2 linked regions of the Astyanax mexicanus genome follow. The protein of the gene in region 1 interacts with the protein of each later gene in a biochemical or structural test. Links are inferred from orthologs where the notes say so. Each region holds a gene or a part of one and is shown in the gene's direction. Other genes may lie near its edges. The genes, in order: cabin1 and mef2d.

Evidence for each region.
Region 2: the proteins of cabin1 (region 1) and mef2d form a complex in vitro, tested with the Homo sapiens proteins (2 studies listed by BioGRID). The link is inferred for Astyanax mexicanus from reciprocal best matches to the Homo sapiens genes CABIN1 and MEF2D.

What each region holds. Positions count from the first base shown.
Region 1 is NC_064419.1:22,924,911-22,932,011, forward strand, and holds the start of cabin1 (calcineurin-binding protein cabin-1), read left to right. Parts: upstream 1-3,849; 5' UTR 3,850-3,934; intron 3,935-4,009; exon of another isoform or gene 4,010-4,268; intron 4,269-5,530; 5' UTR 5,531-5,574; coding exon 5,575-5,577; intron 5,578-6,139; coding exon 6,140-6,235; intron 6,236-6,350; coding exon 6,351-6,464; intron 6,465-6,562; coding exon 6,563-6,697; intron 6,698-7,101. Other genes in the region: cep78 (centrosomal protein of 78 kDa), read left to right, coding at 1-231. UniProt on the Homo sapiens protein: May be required for replication-independent chromatin assembly. May serve as a negative regulator of T-cell receptor (TCR) signaling via inhibition of calcineurin. Inhibition of activated calcineurin is dependent on both PKC and calcium signals.
Region 2 is NC_064413.1:40,265,089-40,273,175, forward strand, and holds the start of mef2d (myocyte-specific enhancer factor 2D), read left to right. Parts: upstream 1-4,834; 5' UTR 4,835-5,103; intron 5,104-8,087. UniProt on the Homo sapiens protein: Transcriptional activator which binds specifically to the MEF2 element, 5'-YTA[AT](4)TAR-3', found in numerous muscle-specific, growth factor- and stress-induced genes.

The sequences.
Region 1 (7,101 bases):
AGTATTCACAGATTTTCTGGTTCTGAGAAAAGTCGGGACAGTGGAGGTTCCAAGGGAGGTTCAGGGAGTTCAGCAAGTAGCATACACACAAGCATACACAGCAGCAGAGTCTCCAATTCTTACAGAGACGACTTCTCTGACGGGAGGGTTTCTCCTGCTCTGAGCTCCAGATCTTCAACTGTCTCAAACGTTGAGAACCAGAGGAGTGCCACTGGGTTTGCTGGATTATAGAGCCCAGCTCCATTTGTAAAATGCATTTAGACTGTGAGCTTCAATGCTAAGTGCCATTGTTTACTGATGATCGCAGTTTTTAAAGAAATAAGAAATGTCAGAAAAACTTATTTTTCGCAATATAAGGCTTACCATTTTATAAGGCGCACTATCAATTAACTATTTTCTGGTCGATTTCCATACATAAGGCGCATTTAAACAGACTCTATGGAACTTCTAATTTAGCAGGTCAGGTAAAGCTAAGCTAAGTAAACAAAACTGTAACAAAAATACTTTCTTTTAAAGTGAAACGAGTGCTGGATGTTCACCTATACAGATTTCTCTCCTGAAAACTGTTTATTAGGCTGAGTATAGTGCTTTCGTTTACAGTAGGCTTAGATTCCCCAATTTCTCCAGCAATAAGGCTGCTAAGAAGCATTAGCAGCGAGCCACTAGCAGTTAGCGGCTACTGCCACCCAGGAACACTACACTGAGTCACCCTAAGTGCTCCAGTAAGCCAGGGCAATATTAGCTAGTGGTTCGTCCCACGTAGCTTGTTTTAACACAGTAAACACGCAGACCACAGTCCGATATACTTACCTCTGAATGACAAACGTTGTAGCGCAGTTAGCGGCTAATGCTAATGCTGCTCCAGGTACAGTCCGATAATACTCACCTATGAATGGGGAAATAGCGGCTAGCAGCTAATGCTAATACTACTCCAGCCTCGGTGCTGGAGAACTAAACTGAAACTCCTGTAATACACTGTACTTCAGCGGAGTGGCTTTACTGCTCCTTACAACCTGACTGGTAAAATTTATACATAAGACACACGGATTAAAAGGCGCACTGACCATTTTTGTGGAGAATTAAAGGAGATTTTAAGTGCGCTTTATAGTGCAAAAAAAATATGCTAGTTCTGTTGGCTATGCTGCTGTGTGCAATTTTAGAAGGAGTCTTCTGTTGAGCAGATGTATGTCTTTAGACATCTTTTAGTTGATGTTTAATAGTATGGCAAGTCTTTTTGGTCTTAAATGCCACCAGTAATACAAATGTAAAATTTATCTGTTTAATTCTCATATTTAGGGTTTCTGTAATGCAACCAAATTTTCTCCCCAATTTAGCTTAGCCAGTCAATGTACCCACCCACTACGACCTCCACTTATCACTTAAAATGTTTCTATGGCTGGGAGGGTCTGAACAAGTGCATGCCTCCTCTGATACACATGATGTCATCTACCACATCTTTTTTAACTGTTTCCAATGCAGCATTACTAGGCATTCAACTCTGAATGCTTTACAGAAAGCACTCTGATGCATTTTAACCACAGACCCCTGTATCGGCCACCATCACAATGGTGGTGATGATGAGGAGGAGGAGGAGGAGGAGGAGGAGGAGAGAGGGACCACCATCTACTAACCCAGAGAGAGCCGGGTCAATTGTGCTCACTTAGGTACCTGTAGAAACCTGTAAAGGATATTTTTATAGTCATATTGACAAGATCACATATCTTTAATTTCATATTGGCAAGGCATATCTATAAATTAAATCTCTTCGATTTTCATTTGCACTAGTAAATTGTTTTTTCGTGTGCCATTTTGGGCTAAAACTGTTTGCCAAACAAGTGTTAATTGTACTAATTGAAAAGCCATTTTAAAAGCCATTTTTTCAGTCTACACTTTTAACTGTGTAAAAAAGCAGACTGAACGTGTTTGAAATGTAATTTACATTTTCTGTATAACAGATTTTAAACGCAGGGTTTGTTTTATTTATTTTTTTATTGCTGTTTTTTAAGTGTGAAAAAAAATCGGTCACCCAGTTTGTATCCTTTATTAACTTTTCATAGACTGTGAAAATGAATTTCTTGTGAATAAATGGATAACAGATACAATATGTTGCTTGCTTTCTTAATTGAACAACATTTACATTGTAAGAAATGTCCACAGATTTAAAAAAAAATGATTCAATCAGAGAGGCTTGGTGTAAAATGAGGCTTTGAAAGAAAATAACAGACTTGTTTTTTTACTCAATCTTTTGGGTGACTTCAGTACTAATTTACAATGAATGGAAAAATATAAGAAAAAAAAACATTGAATAACAAGGTGTGTCCAAACTTTTTACTAGTACTGTATGCCAATCTAGTACCTGTATCCTCTTCCACAGACATGCTTTTACACATTACAGTGTGCGGCGTGTGGTTTTGCATTGTCTGGTTGAAAAATGTGTGGATGTCCAAATAAAAGATGTTGTTCTTGGTCAAGGGTCTTTCTGCATGAATAATAAATCAAAATACATCACTTGAAATTAAAAGTAAATTTAAATTAATTTAACAACATTTTCTGTGAGCAGCATGTGTGATTTTGAATCACAAAACTCCTACTAAATATTAACCATTTCATGCAATAGCTACTTTTCATGAGGTAGCTTATTTTTAATACTGTTCTTCCACAATATTATGAACAATTCCGAAAGTTTATCTAGTCAGAGCTAGCTGGCATATCACACTTTAAGCCCCTCTGAATAATTTTGTTTACAATCGTATAACTTGTTAACTTAGTTAAACAGCCAAACACCCTATATATTTCAGAGGGGCTCCCGGGCACCGACGTGGCTGGAAAAAAGTATTCTGCTGTAAACAACTGTATGTATAAAAACTATAAAATAAGACACATTAATACTTTAAAAGTAAGAAGTACATGCGCTAGAACCTCAATAAAGCGGGTAACATTTTTCAAGGTGTAATTTTAGTAGCAAAGTTCATATAAGATAATACTACAGATATCTTATATTAGCAATACATATTTCAAACATTACACATGTATCTACCCAACTTAGTGAGTGTGGTGAGACTAGACAACCCCAATAAACAAACCAGTCTGGACAGAATAATGTGGCTTTATATAAACGGTATGGCAATTCATTAGATCAGCTGAACTCAGTCTATTGCACGGAGTGGAAAACGGAGAGAAATCACGAAATAACGTGGACACTCTTTTTACAACAGAAGTAAAAAGTCGCCGACCCAAAGAAACAGAGAAACGAGCGCAAACGCAAACAAATGAATCCTATCCGCCCTTACGCCATTCCTCCAAATCAGCAGCGCCCCCTCGCGGCGGCTTGTTCGCGTGAATGGAGTGGTGCATTTGTGTGTGGATCAGGTGCAGGAATGCAAAAGGAAAGTCTCAAACGCCAAAATACGCGAGAGGAAATGAACAAAAAAACAAACGTGATCCACAAACTGCAGATGCACACTTTATAAATACATTTTAAGTTTGAAAATATGCAAGTACATGTAAAAGAAATGCATTCAGTTTTACATGCAAATTATGATTTATACATAAAAACTAGAAAAGTGTATTTATGAGTTTGACAGTATTTGTACCAATTGCAGGTCGTGAGACACAGACTGAAATGTATTTATTTGTGAGCAGTGAAATGTATTTGTGGTGTCTGTGTAATTAATGGATTATTTTTTTACACATTTGTCAGGAGTTTTGAGACTAATCTCTATCCATAAAATTGCACCGATTCGGCGGAATAGCAGGTAAATAATTGTCCTGGAATAAATGAACATGACGTCTCAGAGTCAAATACAGAAAGCTAAATCAGCATTGGCTGCTTTCTGTGGCGCCTGTGTTCTTTCAGCCAATCAGAGCGGCCGGTATTAGATGTGCCCGTTTGCCTGCAGATGCTTTCTGGTGCACAACTTGCGTCTCTGAGCCGGTAAGATTTAATCCATGTATTAAAAACAGACATATATTCCTGCAGGGAATATCAACATGCTGCAGAAACCGGCTTTTTAACACTGAGAGGGGAGGAAGAGAGCGTTATATGGGTTAGCTAAGCTAGCGTTAGTTAACCGTAGCTAGCGGAACGTTAGTAAGAGTGAATGGGACTGTAAACAAAGAGTGTCGCTGTGGGAGTTAATAGCTAGCTGGGTTAGCTAACCAGCTAACCGCTAATAACAATACTTTTATATCGTTATATAGGTTATTTTAGCGTTTTTAATAAATTGCACTAGTTGACACTGACTACAGGAGCTTCGCTATATTATTAGGTAAGGTAGCTAACAGTAAATACTGTTTGAAGCCAGTGTGTTCAGTAAAAAGCTAGTTATGAAGATGACACTGACAGCCAAACTATAGCTTAACCAACGTTAGCCGTTAGCTGATATATTTTAATTTTTACTACAGTGGTGCTCAAAAGTGTCTTAACCCCTTAGAATGTTCTATATTTCTGCATAATTTTGACCTAAAACCTCAGCCAAACCTCACACAAGTCATAGAACAAGTGGCGAGGCGACCCAGGCGACCCAGAAAAAAACTAACAAACGAGCGAGGTATAAACATTAGACCAGCAAACAAACATGAGTGGCAAAATAATGTGCCAGTTTAGGATTAGCATTTTAATTGGGATGACACTCATGTGTGATTGTGCAGTACCCTCTTTTATGTAAAACAAACAAACAAAAAAGCAGGGATATTTTAAAGTCTGATCCTTATCGTAGCACAAAAGGTTACAAAGCCATCTCTAAAGAGTTTGGACAGACTGTGTGAAAACTGAAGGAAATTTAAGACAAGTAACTTTTGTTCTAAGCAAGGCCTTTTCACATTTGCTAATGTTAATGTTCACGAGTCCACGTTAAGGAGAACGATAAATACCAATTTTGTGTGCATAAAAGGAATAATGTCTTGTGTATGGATGAGATAAAAATAGAACTTTTTGGTTTAAACGAGAAGTATAGGTCATTTTTTGTCTGTTCTTGTGTTCTTGTGACTCGTAAAGCATCATCAGATGCAGCCCAAGTACTATTCCATTTAGAAGATCACAGTTAGCCAAGTACACAACAAATACCTGGATGGGTTTTTGCTCTGCCCACGTTATTGAGGATGCATGGAAGGTGACTTGTGTGAACTTCTTACAGTCCTATTACCCACAATATACCTCGCAGCCGGTGCGGCAAATCTGAAACCAGAAACATTTTGTTGCAGTTTTTGGTGCACAAGGAATGTCACACCAGATCCTGAAAGCGTCAAATACTTTTGCCGTTTACCGAAATGTAAAATTGGATTAGATTGGAAGGGGCTCACAAACCATTTAAAGCTACCTACTGTGTTTTTCCTTAGAAATGTTTAATTATTAGTTTGCATTTAAAATGATCTGTCTTGGTTCTGTGAGCTCTGTGGGTCATTTAGGTTCAGCGTAACACTAGATTGCTGATATTGTTAAAGAATATAATAGCAGCTAGAGTTTAGGTAGCCTTTTTAATGTGATAAAGATTGCTAATCCTGTCTTCTGATTCTTGTCATCTTTTTACAGAACCTAATAATTAGTCAGTGGTGATGGTTAACACATAACAAGCCATGGTAAGATTGAATCTGTGTCTTTTAACTGACAATCTTGTTCTCCATAGAAAGATATGGAAGTCCATGCTTTTTGCAACATAATATCTTTTAGACATATAGAAATATTTCTATTTTGGTGACTTCTCCTCAAATGTCTTACTTTTTGCTAAACATTGTGCAGAATAATAAAAAAAAGTTGTTATATATGGTTTATTTATTTATTTATTTTTTTATCTTATTTTGACCGCAACCCATTTCAAGCACATGGTGAACTAACATTGTAAATTACAATTTATGCAACATCATAAAATCTAAGAGTGCCTATATACATGCGTAAATTATGAAATATATAGATGTAGTATAGTAAGGAAAACTCAGTTGTGTTACAAATATGAAAAATCGACATAAGACCTTAAGAGCTTAAGTAAATCATTTCAATATTAAAGTACATTTAATGGCAAATACTTTACATTTAAGTAGAAATACAAAACTAAGGACTTTCACTCGAGTTCATGGTTTGGTTGCTTTTTTTTTTTCATTAAAATGTTTATTAAATTATTTGCTAACTTCATTTCTTTCACAGATCCGGATAGCTGCTCTTAATGCAGCCTCTCAGACTGCAGATGAACATGAGGATCACTTTCGAAGCGCTAAACCCAGTCAGACCAAGGAGGCTCAGGTAAGTTTTGCTTTCTGTAATCTTGATTAACTTTGTGATGTCACTGAAAGTTTCTTTCTATTAAAATTGTCTCCCCTCTGTCAATTTCCATCCCCTGTTCTTCACTGTTCTGCAGGAGGCAGAGGCATTTGCCCTGTACCACAAAGCTCTTGACCTACAGAAGCATGACAAGTTTGAGGAGTCGGCCAGAGCTTACCATGTGCTTCTTAAGACACCGCTGCTTAGGGAGGTAAAAATGTGACTCTTGCTGTTTGTGAAATTAGATGAGGCTGTTTTGCTGATATTTTTGTAATTAACAATATGTCTGTTATTCTGGATTTGTTTCAGGCGGTGGCGTCGGAAGATGAGAAGGTCGGGCTCAAACACCCGGGGTTAATGCTGAAATATTCCACCTACAAAAACCTGGCCAGTCTTGCTGTGCTTAGGGATGACCTGGACACTGCCATGGACTTCTATGTGGAGGTGAAATCTAACAAACTGATCACAAGTATTATGGATTGTGGATGGATTTATATAGCTCTGAAAAAAAAATGACTTAATTTTTTTTTTTTTTTTTACCAAATTAAAAAACCTCTGGAACCATCAAGAGGAAGATGGATGATCACAAACCATCAAACCAAGCTGAACTGCTTGAATTTTTACACCAGGAGTTGCATAAAGTTATCCAAAAGCAGTGTAAAAGACTGGTGGAGGAGAACATGCCAAGATTGTTTTCTTTGCATTATTTGAGGTCTAAAAGCTCTGCATATTTTTTGTTATTTCACCCATTTCTCATTTTCTGCAAATAAATGCTCTAAATGACTATTTTTGTTTGGAATTTGGGCGAAGTGTTGTCCATAGGTTCTGGAATGAAACAATGATGTTCA
Region 2 (8,087 bases), on another chromosome or scaffold:
CAAAGCAGAGCAGCGGGTCACTGCAGAGAGGAGAATCTGCACCCACACACCTTTCATCTGGACTAATACACTCAGGAGAAACGGAGAGAAGAGAGCGGAAGAGAAAGAGTCAGAGACGGTTAGGCTCAAACACCATTAAAATCTGTTGACGAATATGTATGAGAGAAAATAATGACAATTCTTAATGAGAAAAGCGAGCCAGAGAGAGAGAGTGAGAGAGAAAGAGAGAGAGAGAGAGAGGAGAAAGAGCTGGTGTACTTATAACATAATCATGTTATACACATATCAAGCATAACATTATGACCTACATCCATTATCCATTTTTTCAGCTCCACCGAGCGTATTGGATGCTTTGCAGTTTTATAATTAGTAGTGCATCTGTTTCTATGCATACTTTATGATCCACCTTTCACCATGTTCTTCAATGACAAGGACCCCCACAGAGCACCTATTATTGAGGTGGTGTGTCATTCTCAACACTGCAGTGACACTGGAATGGTGGAGGGGTGTTAGTTTGTGGTACAAGTGGATCAGTTTCTAAACACTGTGCCCACCACTGGCCTCAGGCACAGTGCCAGTAGTTGGTGTTTATCTGACAGTCCTATTCTATTGACAGTAATTTGTGTGTCTGCATTTGCACATCAGTGTCAGCAGTGGTGGTAATAGTGGTGGTATATAGATTTACAAGTGTATAGATTTATAAGTATATACACTTTAATACATATTTCAATATGCAAGAACAGAAAAAAACAGCCTGAGAGGGATAAACAAACAGACAAAGGGATGTAGAAAAAGCGAGAGGGAGAAAGAGAGAGAGATGCATCTGACTAAAAGAAAAGCAATCATGGAGGTACTGTAGAATCTGACCCATTTCCATTCTCTGAGGGGAGAGATTTGGAGCAGATGTTCTAGCACACACAGGGTGTCAGGCTGAAGGCTCATGATAGCCCATCACACTGCAGTCACATAACCTCAGATTTAGGTCAAACCAACGCTGAAAAAACTCAAACCAGTACCTTAAACACATCTCTGTCATTTGTGTAAGATGAAGGTAAAAGGTCCTAACACACACTGTGCTGGATCAATGTATTTGTTCAGAATCACATTATTTTGTTACAGAAAGACGCAAGAGCTGTTTTGGAAGTCTAAGCTGCGGTTGGGGTAGGACAAGTCCATGGAGGTACTGGCCTATGAAGAGTATTTCTCAATAGCATGGTGGTCACACATTAGGAACATTCTAACCAGGGCCAAATTTTGTTTCTGCCCCCCAAGCACAATGCTAGCAATGAGTATTTTTTAACTGATCTCAGAAAAAATCTCTGTACCAATCATTAAGCCCATTTTCCTGTGCAACGTGAAGATATTTCCTTGCTTATTTCTGATTGGCTCTTTGCGTCATATAAAATCGGCAGCGTTCAATCAGAGATGTTCTTGTTCAGTACAGCAGGTCCTGTCAGTGTGAACATTAAAGGCAGGGACATACAAGGGTGAATTAAACACTTCTTTCAGTTTAAACTGACTTCCACAAGGTAACGTTTGCTAAACTGTGGTGATTTGTTGCTCAGTGTTACTGGCTTGTAGCTTGTAGTATTAGCAGCTAGCTGTTAAGAAAGCTACTAACTTGGTTAGTAGCAGCAAATCTTTCCTAACACGGACTTAACTTGATACCCCTCTGCATGTATTTTAAGTTTCATTAAATAAATATACACTGTAGAAAACACTATAATGTGTCATTTTCTGTTGAAGACATATGCTACATTTTTATTTCTTCAATTTAGCCAGTATTATTAGCTCTGGCTTTAAAAATATGACTAGCAATATGCCCACCCATTATGTTCTACTGCCCCCCTAAGCAAAGCAGTCTAGAACTAGAGCTGATTCTAACATGGCTTTGAGGTGGCATCACATACAAACTTCACACAATGAAACTGAGGTACGAAACTTAATAATTTGTAAAATTTAAACTTGTGTAATAATTTACAATAATTTGTAAAAAAAAAAAAAAAGAATCAACTCTGCACCAGAGTCTTTGTTTCCCACCTTTTTCCATGTTGCTGTTTTTTCATTTTCCCCTTGCGATGAACATACCCAGTGAATTGTGGGTAACCAAGTACCGTGAAGGATACATCAGCTGCATACTTCAAATCATTCCAAATGTTGACTGCATTTCTCAGCTGTATATGAAAGATGTGTCACTTTGAAATAGCCTTCAAATACGTAGCAGCTGAGAAATGCAGCCCACCTACAAAGCAGCTTGGAGAGAAGCTTGGAACAGAGTTAACTGTGTTTCCTTTTATAGTGGACTCAGGGGGAAACAAACTACAAGCTCTTCTATTATTGGCTGATTTGTGTCACTGCAAAGGTTCATGAGAGTTTGTAGCACTGTATCAAAAACATTGTTTCTTGTAATTATTTCCAAGTTGTTTGTGGTTTGCTAGCAGAAGCAGAAACTGTAGCCCGTTAGCTAGGGCTGGCTTTTAACCAGGCATCCACCCCCCCCCTCGAATTTGTCTTCCCTGCCCAGGCTGGCATTTCTGAGTTCCCCTTATGAAGGCTTATAAGAACCGTGGTGCTTTTCAGTGAACCAGCCCCTACCTCATATCATACCTCATTAACAGAGTTCATTGCACAGCAGCGGTGCTCCTGTACAAACAGACATGACTGAACATTCCTGGTTACGGAACCTACTTTTGTTGGTGGAAATGTGGTGAACCGGTTCAAAATTATGTTCACAAACCAGAACGGTGCCAGTTTCACATCAGTGAAAAAGAGATATTAGAGACACGCCAAAAGGACATACTTTACACTTTATATTTCTGTAAAAGCTGACAGATACAGAACTGGCATCTGACGTGAAAGATTGTCCTACGTGTCTCACCAGAGATGCATAGAGCTGTTAGAAGTGTGCTGAGCCTGAAGTAACTATGGCATAAGATGCTATTCTGTCTATTTACGCCAGTGGATCATTTGTATTAAAATAGAAATGCTACATAATGTTGCTTTCAATATAATCGAATGTCACTAAAAGTGAAATACATCCAGAATAACAGGGACAGGTGCACTATAGAAAAAATAGGCACTAAATTATGATAGCTAATGCAATTGCATTGTTGGGACACATAGGTTTACAAATTACCAGCACCAACAACCAACACGCCTCCTGATTTAACTCTCATCATACAGAAACTTGATCATTTATCAATGCCACCCTATTGTGGCCCTGTTTTTAACAATTTAAATTTTCTAATGTGTTTACCCACCCTAGGCTGAAAATGATTATGATAACTTGCTCTAACTTTACCTTTTGTATTTGTTGTCATATGCATAGGGGTTTCCACTGTTGCATGCTGTCCGGCACACTGTCTGCATGTAGGAATTGAAAGATCTGAGAGAGGGCAACAGGGAGCCCATCTGCTTGCATTAATTCCCTTCGACAAAACCCCCAGTACATAAGCTCCTTACATAAAGAATAAAACAGAGAGTAAGCGCTCTCTCTCTTTTTCTTCCTCTCTCTCTCTCTCTGTTCCTTGCTCGACCTTCTCATTCATCTTCCTGATTACCCTAATTTAATTTCTCTTCTCTGTAATGTATTCACTATAAGATAAATATAATTGCTGCCCTTTAAGTAGGCTACTCGAATCAGGTGTTTACTTCAGATCTAAAATTAATTAGTAGTGTTGTATAGTGCAATGACATCCTACATTATTTACAGTATTCCAGTTTGATTTTATCACATATATAAGCTATTTATTGACTTGACTGACAGATGGATATGAAAGAATTTAGTAGTTCACTTTTTAAACAAAAGCAAAGTGGAGTAGCTCTATCTGTCTCTCTGTCTCTCAGCTGAACAGTGCTTTAAACATGCTACTACAGCTTTAAATGCCACTTCAGTGACCACTTGGCTCAGGCCGTGACGTAGCCAGCTTCAGTGTGTGTGTGTGTGTATTTGGGGGGGGGGGGGGGGGTAAAATATGGCGCAAAAGAAATCACGCAATTTGTTCTGTAGCCTACTCTATAACAAATACCCTATCTGTACGCGTGCTTTTATAGAATCGTATTGAAATCCAGTGAGCCTGTTTAAGAAAACTACGTAAATATCTACGTAACTCCTCCACTTGCCTCAGCGCTGGCAACTCTCGCGTTTTAATTTTTCGGGCGCATCACTCCCTTTCGCTCTGTAAACACTGTATCCCTCCGCTGCAACGAGGCAGTAGCGCTTTACGTCATTTTCCTTCAGCGTGCCAGGATTTGTTTTCCCTTCGGTTCAAGACATTAAAAAGCAACTAAAAAACATTTAAATGCTAAATTTACATCAGAAAAATCATTTTTATGTTTTTATATATACAATCGAATTTGAGAGAGGTGAATAATACTTTTCAGCTCAGTAAATTCTCTTAAATGAGCAAAATCAAGCAATAATCGAATGTTCTCTCGTTTAAAGCCATTACTTTACAACTAGCTGGGTTATAATAGGTCTGATGTTGGATAAAGTTATTATATATTTTGTGATGTTCACAGAACAGAATACACAGACATAAAGAAGAATATATTTTATCACGCAAAGCAGATATCACAGCACACACACGCCGTATGTATATTTAGAAATCACAAATATTGATAAAAGTATTAAAAATAAGTGTACACACACATACGCGAAAATATGTACACAGACCGGCGGATGAATACAGGTAGCTCGCTATAGCTCCAGCATGATCTCTCAAGTCCTTCCTATTTCACCTTAAACCCTCGCCTACCGACTTTGCCTTTGCGAGTAAGCGGCACGATTCCTTGGACGTGATTGGTTGGAGCCGATTCAAGCCCGCCTCCTATTGGCCCGCCGTGTGTCAATCATACAGCAACGCCAATCATGGTAGACAGGACACCTTGTACAGTGTATCATTTGGCTGGGCAAAGCTAGCTAAACAATTATCCTATCTAGAGCACCAAGGGGAGAGAGTTTGGTGATTGATGATGAACTTCGGCTGGGCTTGATTTAAAAATATTGAGGATTTTCATTCCCGTTTCTCCTCAGGCAACCGTTTACAGGTTTTAGGGAAGCTCCTCGTCACCTTACAGATGTGGATACAGTAGCTACTCCGGGTAAGTGACTCCAGCTAGGCTGGTAGTTAGGTTATATTAGCTAAAGCTAGCTAAGCTAACTAGCTTTCTTCGTTAGCTCTGCGTTTATTTAGAAAATAACGGGTTTAAACTCTTAAACTGCCTCTTTTCCTTTTATACGTATAGCTGGCTAGCTAACTAAGCTTTGTGGATGTGTCCCATTGCTGCAAATAATTTCTCCGGTGTTGTGCTGGGATGGATTTCAGCCCAAAATGGAGGACTAGCTCGCTAGCTTAGCTGAGGTTAGCCAGCGTTAGCTAGCTGGCTGACTGGCTGGCTACCGTTGCTAGGCTAGCTTGCCATTTAGCTAGCTAGCGTTAACTCGCCTGTTGTCAAGGGGTAGCTTATCTAGTTACTGGCCCGGTGTTTAAAGACAGCTAGCTCCGTTAACTAAATAGACTGTTTCCTAACAAACACATTTTTCCTGGACGTTTAACTGCAAATAGTGATTTTTAACTCCCTAATATGAGGCTGTAAAGCCGGGCGCAGGCTGTGTGTGCTGTGTTTTCTGGTGCGCAACAGACAGACAGCGGCGGACAGAGACAGCCGAGTGTCAGAGATTTGGTGGCGGTTGTTCGGACCTGTCAACACGCTCTTACAGTTGCAGTTACCTACGTTTTCTGTGTTTGCTTATCTCTGAAACTAAAAACAAAACATCCTAGCTAACCTATGTGTATGTACTCCTTCCTGTACTCCTTATTTACATCCTAAATACTAACTATAAATGTTTATACTTGTATTCTAGGGTATTTTTAAACAAACGCGTAGCTGGCACCTTCCGTGTGTCTAGGCAAAATAAACGTTAGTAATAAATAACGTTAAGGTAAAAATGTTGATTATTTTTTAGTTAATACACCACGCCAAAACTTGGTGTTGCCTACGCAGTGCTGCCACAAACCAGCAGCACTCTCAATTTTTCTCTGTATAAGTGTTATGCAACAGCATGTGGTGTCTGTGTGTGTTTTATTTGGGTGGGTACAAGTGTTAAAGAGCTTGGTTAGAAACTTTTATAGTTAGTGTTCCTCATTGTATAATAACTACATCGCTCTTTCCACCCCCTTTGTGATGTGCTAAGCCTTACTGTGATGTTAGCACCCACACTCTTCACTGTCATGCAGAAAATATCTCCAAAATTGTTATTTTTATGATTAGAGATACGTTCAAGTTCAAATAGCTGAAAAATAATTCTGACTTCAAAAGCTAATTCTAAAATGGGCTGAAATCTAAAATATTTAAAGCTTTCACTACTAGAATAGTGTGTTTTGGAAATGTACAGTGTTATGTCTAAAACATAATCTTCAATACAATGCTGTTCATACTAGTCAATGTTTGTGACTCAATGTTTTACTTGTTAATTTACTTAAAAATTAAAATTAAATTATTAAATTAAATTAAGATTAAAAATGTAATCATAGATAAGAGAGAGTAGTATTCCATGTAAATCAGTGGTAGCGTATGACTAATCAAAATCATAGTATAGATATGGTTTTATACATCTGTAGATCTAATATTAATAATATTAGTAATAATGGAATATCAGTTAGAAACACGTATATTTGGTGTCTTTTTAGACTAAAACAACTTGCCGTACATTTATCCCAGACAATGATTAAACCTAGTCCTAAACTTAATTTTTTCTTTCAATGAGAAATCTCCATTTAGAATTTTGACTAGACTTAATCCTTTTCTGTAAAACTGCCCCATAATATATCTATTTGATATCTGATAGTTCTCTACATTGCCCTAAAATTCAAGGATGAGTGAACCAATAGAAATGATTCAAATTTGACTTTAATTTAAGTCTATTACACTGACTTCCATTTATTGGAAAGGAAGTGTTTTCCTTTCCCCTGTGAATTTCTCATTTTCAAGATACAAGGTTTTAGCCTGACAGCAGTACAGTTTGCACTTTAACCCACATGACATTTTGACTGCTTCCAGGTTTATTTATGTGTTCGTTTATGTGTTTAGGTTGAATGGCCTCAGTGGCCTCAATTTTGAATCCTGGCCTGTCCTAAAGCATGCTCAGAATGAGTGAAGCCCCTCAGTCATGCAGTCAGGTAGTGTGTGCGTTGTGATTCGCAGCAGGGTGTCACATGGCGACTGTTTGGTCCCTAGAGCCTCAATCCAGTTACTGGCACCCACCTGGAGTGCTGTAGTGAGCGATATAGATCAGACTCCTATCCAGCGCACGCCGCTGCCTACAAGCTAGTTGTTTGATGTTGTTTTGCCTGTTTTTAATGTTCAAAAATGAACAACAGTAACATCACCGGACCCTGATGAGGATAAGCTGTGCTTGTTAGTGGTTTGTCGGAGAGCAATTGCCATGATCAATTGCTGGGATTGATCATGGCACTGAGAAGAGAACATGCTGAAATATCACTCTCTTACTCTCTGCTCTGTGTTCTTGCCAGGTTTCTTCTACAGTACACAGACCTTAGAAGCCATGCATGTTGGCGTGTTGCCTAGGCAGGAAGACATCACGCGAGAGTGCCTGATTTACCAAAACATTAGTGATTCATTGCTGACAAAACTTGGCAAACAGCTGGCGTTAATGATGTTTCAGTTATTAGTCTTGCATTAATTACCTTGTTTCTTAGCCTGTTTGTGCTCTGTCACGACACAGTGGCCTATTGGAGACATACTGCGTCTAACTTTCTGGTTATATAGAAAATATCTTTAAATTTGTTGAGTGTAGAAATGAGTGAGATGTTCCATTCCCTTTCCCCCCCTCTTTATTGTCCATAGTATAGTGTTAGTATGGACACAAGGGAAAATTAGGCCACACTGACTTATATGCAGAGAGGAATGTGTGTGATTGTCATCTCTGAATCCCTGCTGACGCTTGTTTATTTGTTTATGTAAGAGGAGCTCTGCTCCCTTTGAAAGCAGGAAGTGAAATAGTCTGTTTTAATGTGTGCTTGTCGTATCATACTGTTTTAGTAAGAGAGAACGATTTTCAATTA